Drosophila melanogaster: one gene and its partners. Changing the gene in region 3 together with the main gene of any one other region gives a genetic interaction. Each region holds a gene or a part of one and is shown on either strand. Other genes may lie near its edges.

Region 1 (4,658 bases), on a different chromosome or scaffold from region 3:
AGGTTACAGCCCAATTAGTTGGCTAATCATTGGGCTTTCCCTTTTTCCTCTTGTGCAAAGAAAAATGAAAATTTCTGCGATTTGGGGCAACTGTACTGCGCCACACGCACACTAGTGCGTCAACAGCTGATCGCCCTGACAGCTGTCAGTTGTTTTTGGCGCTAAATTCAAATCGAGATCATATTTAAATGCATTAATAGTTCCTTCGATACTTATATTTACGCAAAAATCATCATTTGGTTAATTTTATTAATTTCCTAAATTATAAAATTAGGAAATAAATATAAAATTTAGGAAATTAATAAAATTAGAGTGAGAAAAATCTTAATTAATCACTCTTAATAATGCTAATTTGAATTCCACTAAAGTTTCGTACAATTTCACTGATTCAGCCAACCAAGTCTTCATTGTTATCTTTTATTTCCCATATCAACGTACTCAATCTGGCCCAGACAGCTCCTGTCTTCAAACAAAGTTGCTTAGATCGAAATTACCCATCTACGTTCAATTGGGGAGATACCTTGCTATGTTTTTAATTCATTTTTATTCATATCAAATATAAATGTTTGCGTGTACATAAAAGTATGTATGTATGTATAAATCTTCATTGTATTATCTTATCTCAAATTTGTGGGTTTTCTATTGGCAAGGTCTCGCTTATGCATACGGAAGTCATCTAGTGGGTAAATGGGTAACGAATTTCGTCAATGATAAGGCCGAAATGGGCATGGGAAAGGCAGGGGAATGAATGAAAGGGAGTCGGGTGCTTCAATATCCATCGGGATAATCGCACGCGTCAGCTAAAACTAAACTTGAAGTGAATTGGAATCCAACGTGAATGATTGCGGGCGATGGTTGTACAACCTCTGTTGAAAGTTCTTCTTCGAAGGGAGATCTCTTCCTAGCCAGCCTTATTGCCGTTCGGCTTGTCGCCGAAGCGCAGTATGCGCGTCAGCATGGAGGTGAGGCACGGTATTTGCTTCTGGCGATCCATCATCGGTGTGGCGGGCACGTTCGACTCAAAGTCTAGGGCTACGCGCTGGTTAACGAATGTAAGCAGGGTGAGCAGGTCGTACTTTTTGCCATTGGCGTTCAGCTCGCGGATCAGCGATTGCATGTACCAGGAGCCATTGTTGATGTTGCGCCAGGAGAAGTAGCCTAACAGGACGAGATTGCTAGTGAAATTCACTAAAATAGTTACCTAATCATATTCCTTACCCGGAATGGTCGAGTAGGAGAAGAGAAAGTCGGCGTGTATGGGTATCTTGTAGCTCGTCGAGGACTCCCCGTCCGTCTCGGTAACGCCCTTCTCCAGAGTGATGCCTCCGTCCAAGCGATCGCCCTGGCAGGCTTGGATGAAGAACAGCTTCGGCTTGCCCGCCAGCGAGGGGCAGAAGGTGGCAGTGAAGTAGTGCCAGATGTTGTCCAGCTTGTACTGCGTATCCTTGGCGTACAGGTAGCCGTGCTCCCCGTGCGAGAGTATGGCCACCGCAAGGCAGTCGTTGTCCGTGTGGTCCAACTCGGCGGCCTTCCCCACGTGCTTCAGGATGTCCCTCAACTTGCAGTCCTTGTGCACGGACACCGCGAATCCCAGGTTTTCAAAGGCCTTTTTCAGCTCTTGGGCATCGACATTTGTTCCGGTGCGGCTCTTCAGCGAGGGTATGTCGAAGAATTCGTGGTTGAAGATCAGCGCAACTCCGCGGTGCTTGTGACTCATGTTGTATTCGCTTGCATATCGTTCCACGGGCATTCGAGCCACAAACTTGTTGGCCGGCAAGGGGCTGGGGAAAAAGAAATCAGAATTATAATAGCCATTTGGGAAGCAGCATGATAAGATAAGGTAATCGGCGAAATAATCGATGATTGGGTATTTATTTATGTAATTATTTTCAAATATATTTGTGAATAAGACTAAATAGAACAATAGAATTAAAGTCAAGTGCTTTCAAACTTTGTGACTTCAGCCATTTTAACAACATTATAAAGACAGATTGACACATTGATTTTAAATGTTGGCAATAGACAGTATAAATAATATAAAAATAATAGATTGTGGAATGAAAATGGAATAAATAAAAAAAAAAGAGCTTTATATGCTGCATTTGAAACTAGGATATAGCAGTTATGCCAGTACTTGCATTGATAACAAAACACAGAAACATAAAGAGAGAGATGGGAGAGGGAGAGAGCGAGGCACATGGACTCACCTCGCTGCAGTTGCACCACCAACAACAAGAGACTCCGGCGTACAGCCCTTGGCATCGGTATTATCAGCCATTATAAAGCTGCCCCGATTTTCCGATCCATTTGGGCTGCGAATGCCTACTCCGTAGTTTCTGGTTACGCACTCGTCGGTCATCTTGCGCCCCTTTTCTTGCTTAAGTTCTTGTTTTGATTGTTTGCGTTTCTCCTTGTGTTTCCTCTTGCCTTTTGTTCGCTCCCTCCTGCTCCTCCCTCGCTCACGCGCTGCTCTTTCCTTCCTTTTCTCTCTCCGCAGTTGTTGCGCCCTTTTTGGTCTGATTCTTGTTTTATTCTGACACTGCTTCTGTTTTCTATTGCTCTGCGTTGGCCAAACTTTGCGCAGCGCAGCTGTTTTGCGCTTCTCAGCCAGCTTTTGTCGGCTTTCGATCGAGCGAATGTCCTTTTATGGCTCACAGTCGGACGTGTTTAATCAATCAATTAACGGAGGTTAAGCGTGCTCTGAGCGGCGAAAACAAACTGCGATTGCATGTAGTCGTGTGTATGCACTTGCCGCCAAGCGGCGATGGCCGCTCGTCGATAGCACTAATCATCGATTGGTGGCCATCGATTAATTTGTAGAGGGTGTTCTGGTCCTCGGCGCCTTTGTTTAAATTTAAACTCTAACATTATATTGTTCATTTTAAGGGAAAGAGACATTTATGGCGTTTAATTTATTATGTAGCGAAAAACATATAGGGGTGTTCCACGAATATTACCTTATTATTTGGCTTAAGCACGGACTTCCCCGAATAAATGTAGCTTCCTAGTCACTCACACATTTATCTAATCTAACATTAAAAACAGGTCTACGCCGGCGACGGAATGCCGGGGCACATCTGTCTGGAGTGCCGCCTCCTCTTCGAGCACTGCTACCGCTTCAAGCAGATGTGCAAGCGGGCGGAGACCCTCCTGCGCCAGTATCCGCTCACGGGTAACTGGCCATCGCCGCTGGAGAAGCCCCGTGCGCCCATGACGATGGTGGCTTCCAAGAAGTTGTTGGTCGTGCCAGCAAAGACAGCCGAGCCAAGCGAAACGCCCAAAAAGCTGCTGAACACAATGGCCAAATCCAGTAGTCAGGTGATCATCGAGGACGTCCAGGTGCTGGAGAGCGCCATGGTGACCCCCAGGACGGTAGCCGGTTCCTCTCCAGTGCCACGTCGTTCGCACGCCTATGAGCTGAAGGTGGATAACAACCAGGAGCTGTCCATGGACGATGTGCAGAGCATGCTGGAGGATATGGCCAGTGAGCTAGAGAAGGAGTTCCCCGATATCCCCCAGAAGGCATCACCCGTCAAGCCGAAGGTGCTGAACAAGTCCTCGATTAGGATCTTGAACAAGGGACCCGCCGCTCCGGTGGAACCGCGCCTGGCCACACCCAAAGTCAAGCGAGATGATAGTGGCAATGTGGCCATAGTGACAGAGGTTCTGGACTCGGATCTGCCATTGGACGATCAAGATGATCCGACCAAGAACGCCGAGAAGGTGGCCACCGATGTGTTCCCCTGTCCCGATTGCGAACGCTCCTTTCCGCTGCAGCAGCTGCTCGAGATCCATCGGCTGAATCACACTCGCTCGCGCAGCTTCCAGTGTCTCCTGTGCGAGAAGAGCTTCTTCTCCAAGTACGACCTGGCCAAGCACAACTTTGTGCACACCGGCGAGCGGCCATTCAAGTGCGCCATCTGCTCGAAAGCCTTCACACGGAAGGCATTGCTCCATCGCCACGAGCGCACCCACACGGACGTACCCAAGTTCATCTGCGTGTACTGCGAGAAGCCCTTCCTTTCGCGCCAGGAGATGGAGAAGCACGCCGAGCGACATCAGAAGAAGCGTCCGTTCCAATGCGGTGTCTGCACCAAGTCGTTTGCCTTCAAGCAGGGATTGGAGCGTCATGAGGTGGGTTGACAAGCATATTTGGGATTGCCCCGGCTAACGATTATGTCCACTTTCAGACAGTCCACTCCACCAATCTTCCCTTCCCCTGTCAGCATTGCGAGAGAAGCTTTTCCACCGCTTCCAAGCTGGCCCGCCACCTGGTTGCCCACGCCGGGAAGAGAGCCTATCCCTGCAAGTACTGCCACAAGTCCTACATGCTGTCGCATCATCTCTCGCGCCACCTGCGCACGCACACGCAGACTTCCGACGCCTCGTTCGTGTGCAGTGAGTGCAAGGTGTCGTACAGCAACTATAACGACCTACTGGATCATGCGCTCATTCATGCCACCGCCAGCCTGAAATGTCCCATGTGTCGCAAGCAGATCGAAGATATCGACAGTGTCGAGAGCCACATGGACCAGCACAAGCAGAGCGAGCGCCATGCCTGCGAGTTCTGTGACCACATCTTCTTGACGCAGAAATGCCTGCAGCGCCACATCGAGGACGATCATGTGGTGGAAATGGAGCCGTACCAGAACGAGTTC
Region 2 (4,748 bases), on a different chromosome or scaffold from region 3:
CAAGAAAAGAGAGACGAACGCGACGCGTAACACTTTCGTTGGCGGTTTTTCAAGACTGTTGCTTATTGGTTGGGTTTGGGGGGGAAAAATGCAATAATTTCACGTATTTCGCACAACTGCGTCACACCAACACACAGACAACGGCTGCAAACTGATTTGGCGATAAGCTCGCTTTTGTTTTTGTTGTCGCACAAACACACGGACGCAAATTAAGGCAGGCTTGCGAATTTCAAGCGCAAAGAGCGACCACCAGAAGCGATTGATTTTCGCCAACTAAATCGCGACTCGCAGCGTGAGCATAACGGTCTAGCTCCACATTATCAGTATCAGTTCGGATGGAGCTCTCTCTCCCGCTCCGCTCTCATCTGCTGTTATCATCCGGCGTTGTTGTTGTCAGACTGACCGCATTCCCCAGCGCCTGTATCGACTGGCCAACCATCTCGAGGTCTCCCCAGGCCAGGCTGCCATCTGGTCACACTTAAAACCAGTTTTCATGGTGGGGAACACATGATCAAATCTCACACACATCCACACAAATACAGATACAGGTGGTCGTGCTGTGGATGTAAGTGTGCGAATAGGAAGTTTTTGGCTGCGCCCCCCTGCAAATTGTATCGCCCAATTTTTTTTACAGTGGATACTGCCTATGAAGACATTTCCGTGTGCTTGTTATCTCTACTCCTGAAAATCGAGTGCTCTCCTTAGTAATATTATAATCAATCACAATTACAAAAAATTATTAAATACTAGTATTTCGCTATTTAAATAATGAAACCCCTTTTATCTGCTTATCTGTTAACACTGTTGTTTTGCAGTGTTTTAGTAGATGTCTGTATGTCTGTCTTCTTTGTTGTCATTATTATGCTCTTTTAATATCTACTGTGATAACTTTTTATTATTTCACAACAAGCTTTTTTGGTTTGCACGTGCTTTCTAATGATTTCTATTTACTTAGTGAGACTAGGAACTAGGAAAATAAAGCTGACGCCTCCTATTTGGGAAATAGAATCCTGTATCTATCGGATAAAGTTGAATTTTTTATTGTTACTCAGTTCAAGATTTTTGTGGCTTTTTAAATTTTTAAACGATCGTTTAACCTGCTAAATACTTTCGAGTATTCAGTTGCTTGCGAATTACATAAAAACTTGTATACAGTGAAGGTCGATTACCCCGCTTAATTAAGCACGATTCGGCGGCATATTCTTGAAATATTAATTAAAATTTCAAGCCGATTTTGTTTCTTTTACTTAAACACGACGAGTTTTTAATGGCTGAAAGTATTTATTTTTTGGGGTTTTTATGCTCGAGGTTGCTTTTTAGTTTTTTTTTTAAGATTTAATCAATTATGTGATTACTCTTTAAATAAAGTTTCTAAATGTCCAACAACTTTTCTATAATCAACTCAAACAAAAATCGTTCTAAAACTTTTAGGTTTTTGTCTTAGCCATCACGACCATAATGTCTAATAATAATAATGCTCACCTCCTTCGCAGATTGTCGGTCTGATCGAGCGACAAGTTGGGGCTGCTGCCGTGGTGTCGCCTCCGTCCGTGTAGCTGTTGTTGTTGCCGGGAGGCGGCGGTGACCAGATCATCGCGACTTTTGCTCAGACTGTCGCTGAACGGTTGCATTGTCCAGGATTGGTGTGGTTTGGGTATGTGTATTGGTGGCTCTATGATCGATCCTTACGACATTCTGGTCAATAAAGCGGTTGCTATATGGAGATACCACGAACATTAGTATTTTTTGGCTGGGGATTTCCTTTTCAGACACACACACGCGCACATTCGTTCGCAACCTCTTATCAATGAATGACGAAAATCAATAAGAAGCAAACGACGTCAAACGGCAAAGGGCAAAAGGATATGCGAGCAGGAGCGGGAGCGAGACAGCAATAGCACCCACGCAAAAAAAGCTATTTAAACACACAAACACGGGAAGAAGAAGGGTCGATTATTGCACTTGCTGCCAATTCACTTTGCATTCCGCTTAAATGTGGTTTTCTTTCACTTTCAAACTGCAGGCTGAGCTATTTTTATGATGCCTTTAAAAGGCGAATTGCACAAAAGAATAGGCGCACACACAAGCTCACATACAGGTATTCTTTTTATTTGTACACAGAAAAAAAAAGTAGATATCAAAAAATGTATTTATATATTGTATCCCATTTTTGTAAGTTAGATGCTTTTCCAATTATTTTTGAGATATAGTACAGAATCTTTTTCTGTTAAAAAAAAAATATAATTCGCCAAATAATATTACTTTATGATTATTTTTTTTCTCATTTGAATAATATCTTTTGCTTTTCAAAAGATAAACATATATTAGAAGAAAAGGCACTTGATATCATTTTTTCCTGTGTACAACTCCACTTCTTGTTGTTCTTTTTTTTTTTAATTTAACTTGGCCAAAGCTAGAACATAACAAAAACAACAAACATAAATGTTCCCACACACACACCAGAGTACATTTCTCGCTATTGCTGTCTCGTTCACACCCACCCAGTAGGGCCCTCCCCTCTTGCTCGCACCAACGACGGAAGCCTTACAGCGCAGCTTTGTGCTGTTGCTGCTTCTTCTTCTTCCTCTGCTGCTGCCTTTTGCTCGCTCGTTCGCTCTTTTGGCCAAGAAAATCAATATAAAAATTCTTGTATTTGCACATTTTTCACACACTTTGCTCACTTTTCCAGCAATTTTCCACTGCGAATCGTAGTGATTGCATTGATTCGTACTTTATTCAGCCATTGGCGAAGAACTTTTATTTGATTTCAGCTTGAAATGGAACAATTAAAGACTGGTTTTCTGCTCTTCTTGGAGTTCCGCTGCGAAACGCGTTTATTCCGACCAACCGTCCGCACCAAAGGTAGATACAAATCGACTAAAAAGCAAAAACTGGCTGCTGGCTCTGCTTTGGCTTTGGCCGAAACCGAGTTCCAATCCGCTCTCTAGCGCTCTCTCTTGCGGATTTCCTCCACCAAAACCAGTTTGGAGCGCAGGTTGTGTTCACTGCGCAAGTGTGCGGGAGAACGCGACTGCGCGGGATGGCCAACCACAAACAGACATCAACTGCCAAGGCACTGGGTCGTTGTTGTTGCTGTCGCCTCTCCGATTATCCCCGTTTTTCTTTTGCTCACCACACTCTACTTGATAGTGCCAATGAAACTGGATCTGGCTTAAAAGTTTAATAAAGCTCTCGTCAGCGACGTGCACGATCGTGTTCAGTGCCTAAAAGCGCTCATGGCAGCTGCTTCTGAGCTTTTAGCAAAATAATGCTTAAAAAGATAATGAAGTCAAAAATAAATAAATTAAATAATTCAAATCAATGAAATTAGATGTACACATTTGTGTGTCGTTGAATATCTAAAACCTCGCTTTTACCACACTCTTTTTCATTTCTATTTTTATTTTCTCTTTCGAATATTAAGTACTAAATTTAAGAATACTATTAGCAACTTTTGGAAACTTTGATCTAAAATTTTGAAAGAACATCTGAAAGTAGAAAAATTTATTATTAGACAGTTTTTTATACTAAATGTGGGTATTAATTTTATTTAAAAGTCAGCTTCTTAATAAATGAAATAAATAACTAGATATGTATGTATGTATATCTATTTAAGGAAAGTCAAAAACTTAGTGATACTCTTAAAAAGAATGTATGTATGTATTTTGATTTTGTTTTATCAATATATGTTATAAAAGCATGAGCTAAGTTACTTAAAGTATGATCTTAATACTTTTTCGCTTTATACACAAACAAACATACATACATATAAAAATTAAACTTTAAATTGTTCTTAAATGCAATTCGCTTGCGTAAACAACCTATCAGCTTATCAGTCTGTACGTCATAAGCTGGGTATGTAGTTAAACTCGGCACGTCATCAAAGAATTGCTATACAAGAGCAGAGCTGTGAAAACGGTGTCTCCGGATTTGTGTCGAATCCCATACCCCTGCTCCTCCGCTTTCGCACAACAGGTAGAGCACGAAAATGAAAATAACATAGTGCAGCAGGTAGCATAATTTCTACATAAACAAAGATGACTCATACCCACAGAGGACTGATCTCTTTGGAGAACATGTTAGTGGGTGGGGGCTTTTCTACATCGTGGAAAATACTTAGCGAATTCAGCGATCAATTGTATATTTACATAGTTAGAATTTCCATAGCATATATTCAGCGATCAATTGTATATTTACATACTTAGAATTTCCATAGCATATAATATTCATAATAAATGTCTCTACTATGAATTGGAAAAGCATTATTCTATACACGAAATATTTCGAAATTAACAACTTATTATTATGTTACGTACATATGTATAAAAATATTACCTTTATCACCCATGATAACAGCATAACGCCATAAGTATATAAGATCTTTTTGTCGCGGTGTATCCTTACCAATCACACAATCCACTTTTCCCTTCTTAGAGCCACCTCCCCCCTTCCACGTTATCAACAAATACCTTTTCTTGTATGTTCTGACCAATAAATTGTTATGCTGCCTGCGTGCGGCTCAGGCGTTTTCTTTTGGTCCATTGCGCATGAGTCATAGGGTTTCACGCATTTGAGGGACACCGAGGGCCAGTATCTCCCAGGGTTCCAGTTCCATGTCCAGGGTGCAGGTTCCATGCCCGTCAATCAGTGCCACTTGCGAGGGGGAGGGGGTATATGATCTCAACACAAGAATTGCCTTTAACAAGTCTAAGTTAAGGGTAGTTGAGGATCATTGAGATAAGGATCTT
Region 3 (4,965 bases):
TGCCAGTGCACTTGTTTTGGTTGCGCTTCAGCAGTTCCAGTCCGATGTTAAACCGTTCCAGTAGATTGTCAAAGCCTCCCAACTGTCCGAAGCGGTTAATAAGATCCACAAGCCAGCCACGCGCATTCTTGGGCTCCGGCGGCGGACGGGCGTACATTTTGTTGCTGTCCAACTGACCCCAGATGTAGTCCGGCGCTGCGAAGCACTCCGGTTGACGGCCTGCGTTAAATGTGTTGAACTTGTTCTCCGGATCAAAAACAATAGCCAGCAAGTCAAGCAGATAGGGATTGTCTCGCTGCATGTGGATGGCGATTAGATGTAGAAGCTTGCCGCAAGACACAAGGATACAGTGGTGGATGTTATTCTTCCACGAATTCACCGCCTCGTCGGTTAGGATCTTGGCAAAGGAAGTGCTCAGTCCATTGCGATAAAACTCCACACATGGCTCGCAGTCGTGATCCACACCTGCAAATAAATTGACTTTAGAGGGTATCAAATAAATCGTTTGGACACACTTACCAGCCTGGGTCAGTTCGATGGCTGCATTTAAGAGAACCTCCAATTCCTGTTCAGGCAGCACCGGCACCACCCAACGCGGATTGGATATCTTTTGCGTTAGTGATCTCAGTTTCGTCGTGGGAAACGAGGATATAAGCTTCTCTGGAGGCCTATTTAATTAAATGGACAATTATTCAATATTAAAAATAACAAATTAAATAATACACATAAAAAAAAAAGTTCTTAGGGGGTCAATCAAAGCACACCCTTCCATAAACATTTCTGTTTATTAAATGGTTATTTCTATTAAAATAAATGCCAAAACGCATACATTTTTTTTTTTTTTTTTTTTGTAATTTTCAGTGTTAGCTTATTTTGATGGACAAGCGATAAGATAGGCCGTGGACGGGCATTCAAAATGAGATAGTAATAGCCGGGTAAGGTAATATTAGTAAAGCTTGGTAAGTTCATTGCTAAAACTGGACAGCAGCCAAGTGCACCTATCGAAGAAAAAGAAAGATAACATTTATTGCCACATTTATGGTCACTAACCAGTGGCCTGGCCAAAATCATCTGAAACATAGTTAAATGAATTACGAACATTGTGCTGGCCCAACCATAGACAAACAAAGAATGCATGTGGAAGAATTACTACGCAAAAGTAAACACACGAATGTTGGGGATCTTTAGGGGTGGCGGTCATACTGGTGCTACGCACAAAACCCGACTAATTGGGCGGAGTCATGCAAATACGGCAGCACGACCACTTACACTATTGTGATGGTGCTGTCCACGCTGTTCGCTGACAAGGAAGCGGCCACGTCATCAGAGCTCTGACTGTCTGTGGCCGGCTGTTGATCCTGGTTGCCGTCCAAGCTACCTGATCCTCCTCCTGGCAGACTCGAGTTGGCGACTGTTCCTGTGCCTGTTCCTATGCCCGATCCTGATCCGGCACTCTGCGCCGGACTCGTTGTGGTGGTTGTTGTGCTGGTGGTGCTGCTGCTTGAGCTGGGCGCTGTGCTTCCCGGCTGTCCGGTGGTGTGCCTACGAGTGTCGAACGTCATGGTGGCGGGGTATCCTCTCCAGCCAACTCGTTCTGCGGAGCACCGGAAGCGGATGTTAATGCACGAGCTCTAGTGCCGGGCTAATCCTAATGCGTTCTGCAGTGCGCGTCGTTTTTTGACTGGTGTCTTATGGCAAATGTGAGGTATCCGGGCTTCTGCTTGTCCAGTTTGGGAGTTCCCCGCTGATTTGCTGTTTCTTGAGGCACAGTTGGTCGGTTAGTTGGACTTCTTGCTCTGGGCTCCCTCTTATTGTCCTTTTTCCCAATGCCTGGTCAGCGGCCAGTTTGCAAAAATCTATAAAGTGCAACGAAGCGAAAGAGGCAATAAGAGGCGGATAAATACAGCGCTAAGAGAGAGACCGAAAAGGCCCACATGTGTACGAAGCTCAGTTTTGGGTGTGTGAGTGGTCCTGCGTGTGTGTAAGAGAGCGCTGGGTTGGAATATGAAAAATCAATATTATTTAATAGACGGGGCAGCAAGCGCCAAATAATGCTCCAAAAGCACACAAATTACGCTCTCACCCACTCACACGCACGCACGCTCACCCACAGAACCCTCTCTTTTTGTGTGTGCGTTTGAGTTTAATTTAAAATTGTTTTTGTTTTACGCCTCGCTCTTCATTCTTATTTATTTATTGTTATTTTTTTGGGCAAACAAAGAACATTTTCCTGCCGAAAATTACATCACGTCCAAGTTTACGGATTTTGCACTCACTCTCTATCTCTCTCCGCCCGGCATCATCCTTAAGCGGAATGTCGGTCGGTGGGTGGGAGCCACTGGTGGAAAAAGGGGCGGGGAAAGGGTGTAGGCGAAGGGTGGTGAAAATAACTACGCATAAAGTTATAGAAAGATGCCAAAATTAGCGGTTCATTGGGTGTGTCGAGGGCGGTAAATTGCTCACATTCTTTCTATAGCTTTAAAAGTTGTAAGAGATTAACGGAAGTCACCCAAGGACGGCGGCCAGTGCGGCTTTTTATTATTTTTCACTGTTTTTTCACGCGCACACACACTTCCTCACGCGCACGTACATTTATTTTTCGCAAATGGAATCGAGCGAACTGACGACCGAGTCCCAACTTTTCGCAGGCCTCAAAATGGGCGATTGCTCTTCCTTTCGCCTTTGCTCTGGACAGCGGGGAGCCCTTACTTGGCTGCGCCACTCGAAGCTAGTCGCGGTAACTATTTCGCGAATATTGAGCTTACAAATCAGCCGGCCAATAGACAAAATGGCGTCTGCCGTTGCTGTTGTTCTGCGGTCAACTCCAATTGCCATTGCTTTTTACCTGCCTGCCCGACGGCGAAGAGCTGCGTATCCTGCGAGCGTCGCGGTTGCGGCCACAGGGTTTTTTCTACCCGCTCGTTGTCCAATTCGCGTTAAATAAATTATATTTAAGCTATTTCTTTTGCTAGGGTTGTGCAGTTCGGGCGAACTAGTTATGAATTGAACCGGTTCGCGCGGTGCTTTTTACCAGAGTTATCAGGCCATGCCAAAAGCGCGCCTATCGAACTGGTTTATGTGGTACATATAAGGGACCCTAAATTTAAATTTCTGGCAATTGGGATTTCAAATAAAATCAAATCATTGAAATGCACTGTAAGAATGTACACTCTACTAGTCATGTTTAATTGTAAATAAATATATAAAAACATATAGTATTATTAATTTGATCAAATTAGAAAGCAGTCTTAGGGCCCATTATATAATCTGTAGAAAATAATTTCCTTATTTTTAATACATTTCGCATGTGCTTCTGATGTATTATCATTTTATAAATTAGTATTAATTTAAGTGCACGAACAACCTATTCGTTTATTCAGTGGTCCTACTGATAACGATAAGTCCGATATCGATAGGAGTATTGTTTTTATTTTGTTTAATGTAATATACAATACGAAGTAATTGTTTTGATTTCATGAGAATGTACGACGCGTTGGAACGCTGCCCAGGAGCCTACTGTGGGCGATCACCGCTAGGAAACAACAGCTGGAGCAGCTGCGGGGTCTGTCCCAGAGGATCTCGGGTTAATGTTCTAGCATCCTTCGGAACGGCGCCTGGAAAATAATTTACTTTTATATTGTTCAGGTGAACCAAAGTTACGCATGCTCTCCATGCCGCGACGAGTTAAGCACGTACTCCTGGCTATACCTGGGATTCATGACCATGCTGCCACTTATGATGCACTGCTTTTTCATTGACATGGACGCCAAGGATCGCAAGTGAGTGAACTAATCAAACTGGAAGAAGAACTTACTTAGTGAATTCACATAGGTTTTCGCGGAAGCAGCTGATCTTGACGGCCAGCGCTTTCGTTGAGGTTGCCATATCTGCCATCCTCGCCACCTTGCTAATGGAGCCCATGTGGGAGCTGCGCCTCTACGCCTGTGATGTTCGAAAACTTACTGACTGGTACACATTGTTTTACAACCCCAGCCCCAATTATGAGGCACGAGTCTACTGCACCCAGGAGGCAGTTTACCCATTGTAAGACCCAGCCACCCAAGGCTCCAGGTGTTCACAATAGTCACTTTAATGTTCAATTTCCAGGCAAACCATCGTGCTGGTTTTCTACTTTCTGTGCCTGGTGAACATGTTTCTCATACGCCCGCTAGTCAGCAAAATTATGGATGTGGGGGGCAGAAGCAAGGCGCCGATTTACTCGGCTCTTTACTTCCTGCCCCTGCTCACCTTTATCCATGCGTTAGGATGTGGGTTGATCTGTGAGTACTTAAGTGCTTGCTAATATTTTGGTCTTGAGATCTTTTCTTTTTCAGATTACTCCTTTCCGTACCTTAGCGTGGCCATATCCATGGTAGCCAATGCCATCCACTATTCCCTCAAACTGGATCAAACCCTAAAGGCATTGGTTCACTCGTCGGTGTGGGAGTTAAAAAACGTGGTCATCATAGGTAAGCAAAGTGCGCATTCACCATACATAAAGTATACCAGCAGCTTACTTTCCCAGCTGTGCACTGGATGTTGTTGGCCTACGGCCTCACCTCCCTGAATTACCACTATGCCTTTATGTGCTTGGTGCCCTTCCCCACACTGTTCTATATTTTGACCGTACGTTTCACGGATCCTGCCGAGTTCCGGGAGCTGGAGTCGAGAATTTGATGCGGCGACGTCCAGATGCAAATTTTTCACGCCCGGGGAACTCGTCGATCGACTGTTGTTATCTATGTGTAGTGTACGCGTCAATTAATTTATTTACATTTAGTATGTAGCTCAGACTCAGACCTGTTCCGAGTATAATTGCGGCTCTAAAAGCCGTTGAGAAACAAATTTAGGAGCAGGTCTATTTAGTGTTTTCGTCGCACAAGCTTAATTCATTCTTCGTTCTTTTCGTTTTAATTATATTTCACATTAATTATACACATATAGTAATATTAAATACAAATCATC

What was found.
Region 1: of faf (region 3) and Dcp-1, changing one suppresses a phenotype caused by changing the other (phenotypic suppression), as found in Drosophila melanogaster (one study listed by BioGRID).
Region 2: of faf (region 3) and wnd, changing one suppresses a phenotype caused by changing the other (phenotypic suppression), as found in Drosophila melanogaster (one study listed by BioGRID).

Annotation. Positions count from the first base shown.
Region 1 is NT_033778.4:23,549,424-23,554,081, reverse strand, and holds Dcp-1 (death caspase-1), read right to left. Parts: upstream 2,770-4,658; 5' UTR 2,360-2,769; coding exon 2,208-2,359; intron 1,782-2,207; coding exon 1,219-1,781; intron 1,159-1,218; coding exon 902-1,158; 3' UTR 535-901; downstream 1-534. Other genes in the region: pita, read left to right, coding at 3,046-4,134, 4,191-4,658. UniProt on the Drosophila melanogaster protein: Involved in the activation cascade of caspases responsible for apoptosis execution. Proteolytically cleaves poly(ADP-ribose) polymerase (PARP). Loss of zygotic DCP-1 function causes larval lethality and melanotic tumors.
Region 2 is NT_037436.4:19,632,750-19,637,497, forward strand, and holds the start of wnd (wallenda), read right to left. Parts: upstream 3,035-4,748; 5' UTR 2,682-3,034; exon of another isoform or gene 2,673-2,681; intron 1,715-2,672; 5' UTR 1,632-1,714; coding exon 1,483-1,631; intron 348-1,482; exon of another isoform or gene 1-347.
Region 3 is NT_033777.3:31,775,063-31,780,027, reverse strand, and holds the start of faf (fat facets), read right to left. Parts: upstream 3,009-4,965; 5' UTR 2,846-3,008; intron 2,786-2,845; exon of another isoform or gene 2,464-2,785; intron 2,391-2,463; exon of another isoform or gene 2,277-2,390; intron 1,857-2,276; 5' UTR 1,563-1,856; coding exon 1,270-1,562; intron 669-1,269; coding exon 520-668; intron 466-519; coding exon 1-465. Other genes in the region: CG2126 (uncharacterized protein), read left to right, coding at 3,476-3,583, 3,646-3,779, 3,832-4,044, 4,108-4,280, 4,335-4,469, 4,526-4,677. UniProt on the Drosophila melanogaster protein: Ubiquitin C-terminal hydrolase involved in development and the imd/NF-kappa-B (IMD) signaling cascade. Required for eye and embryo development, and plays a role in compound eye assembly and oogenesis respectively.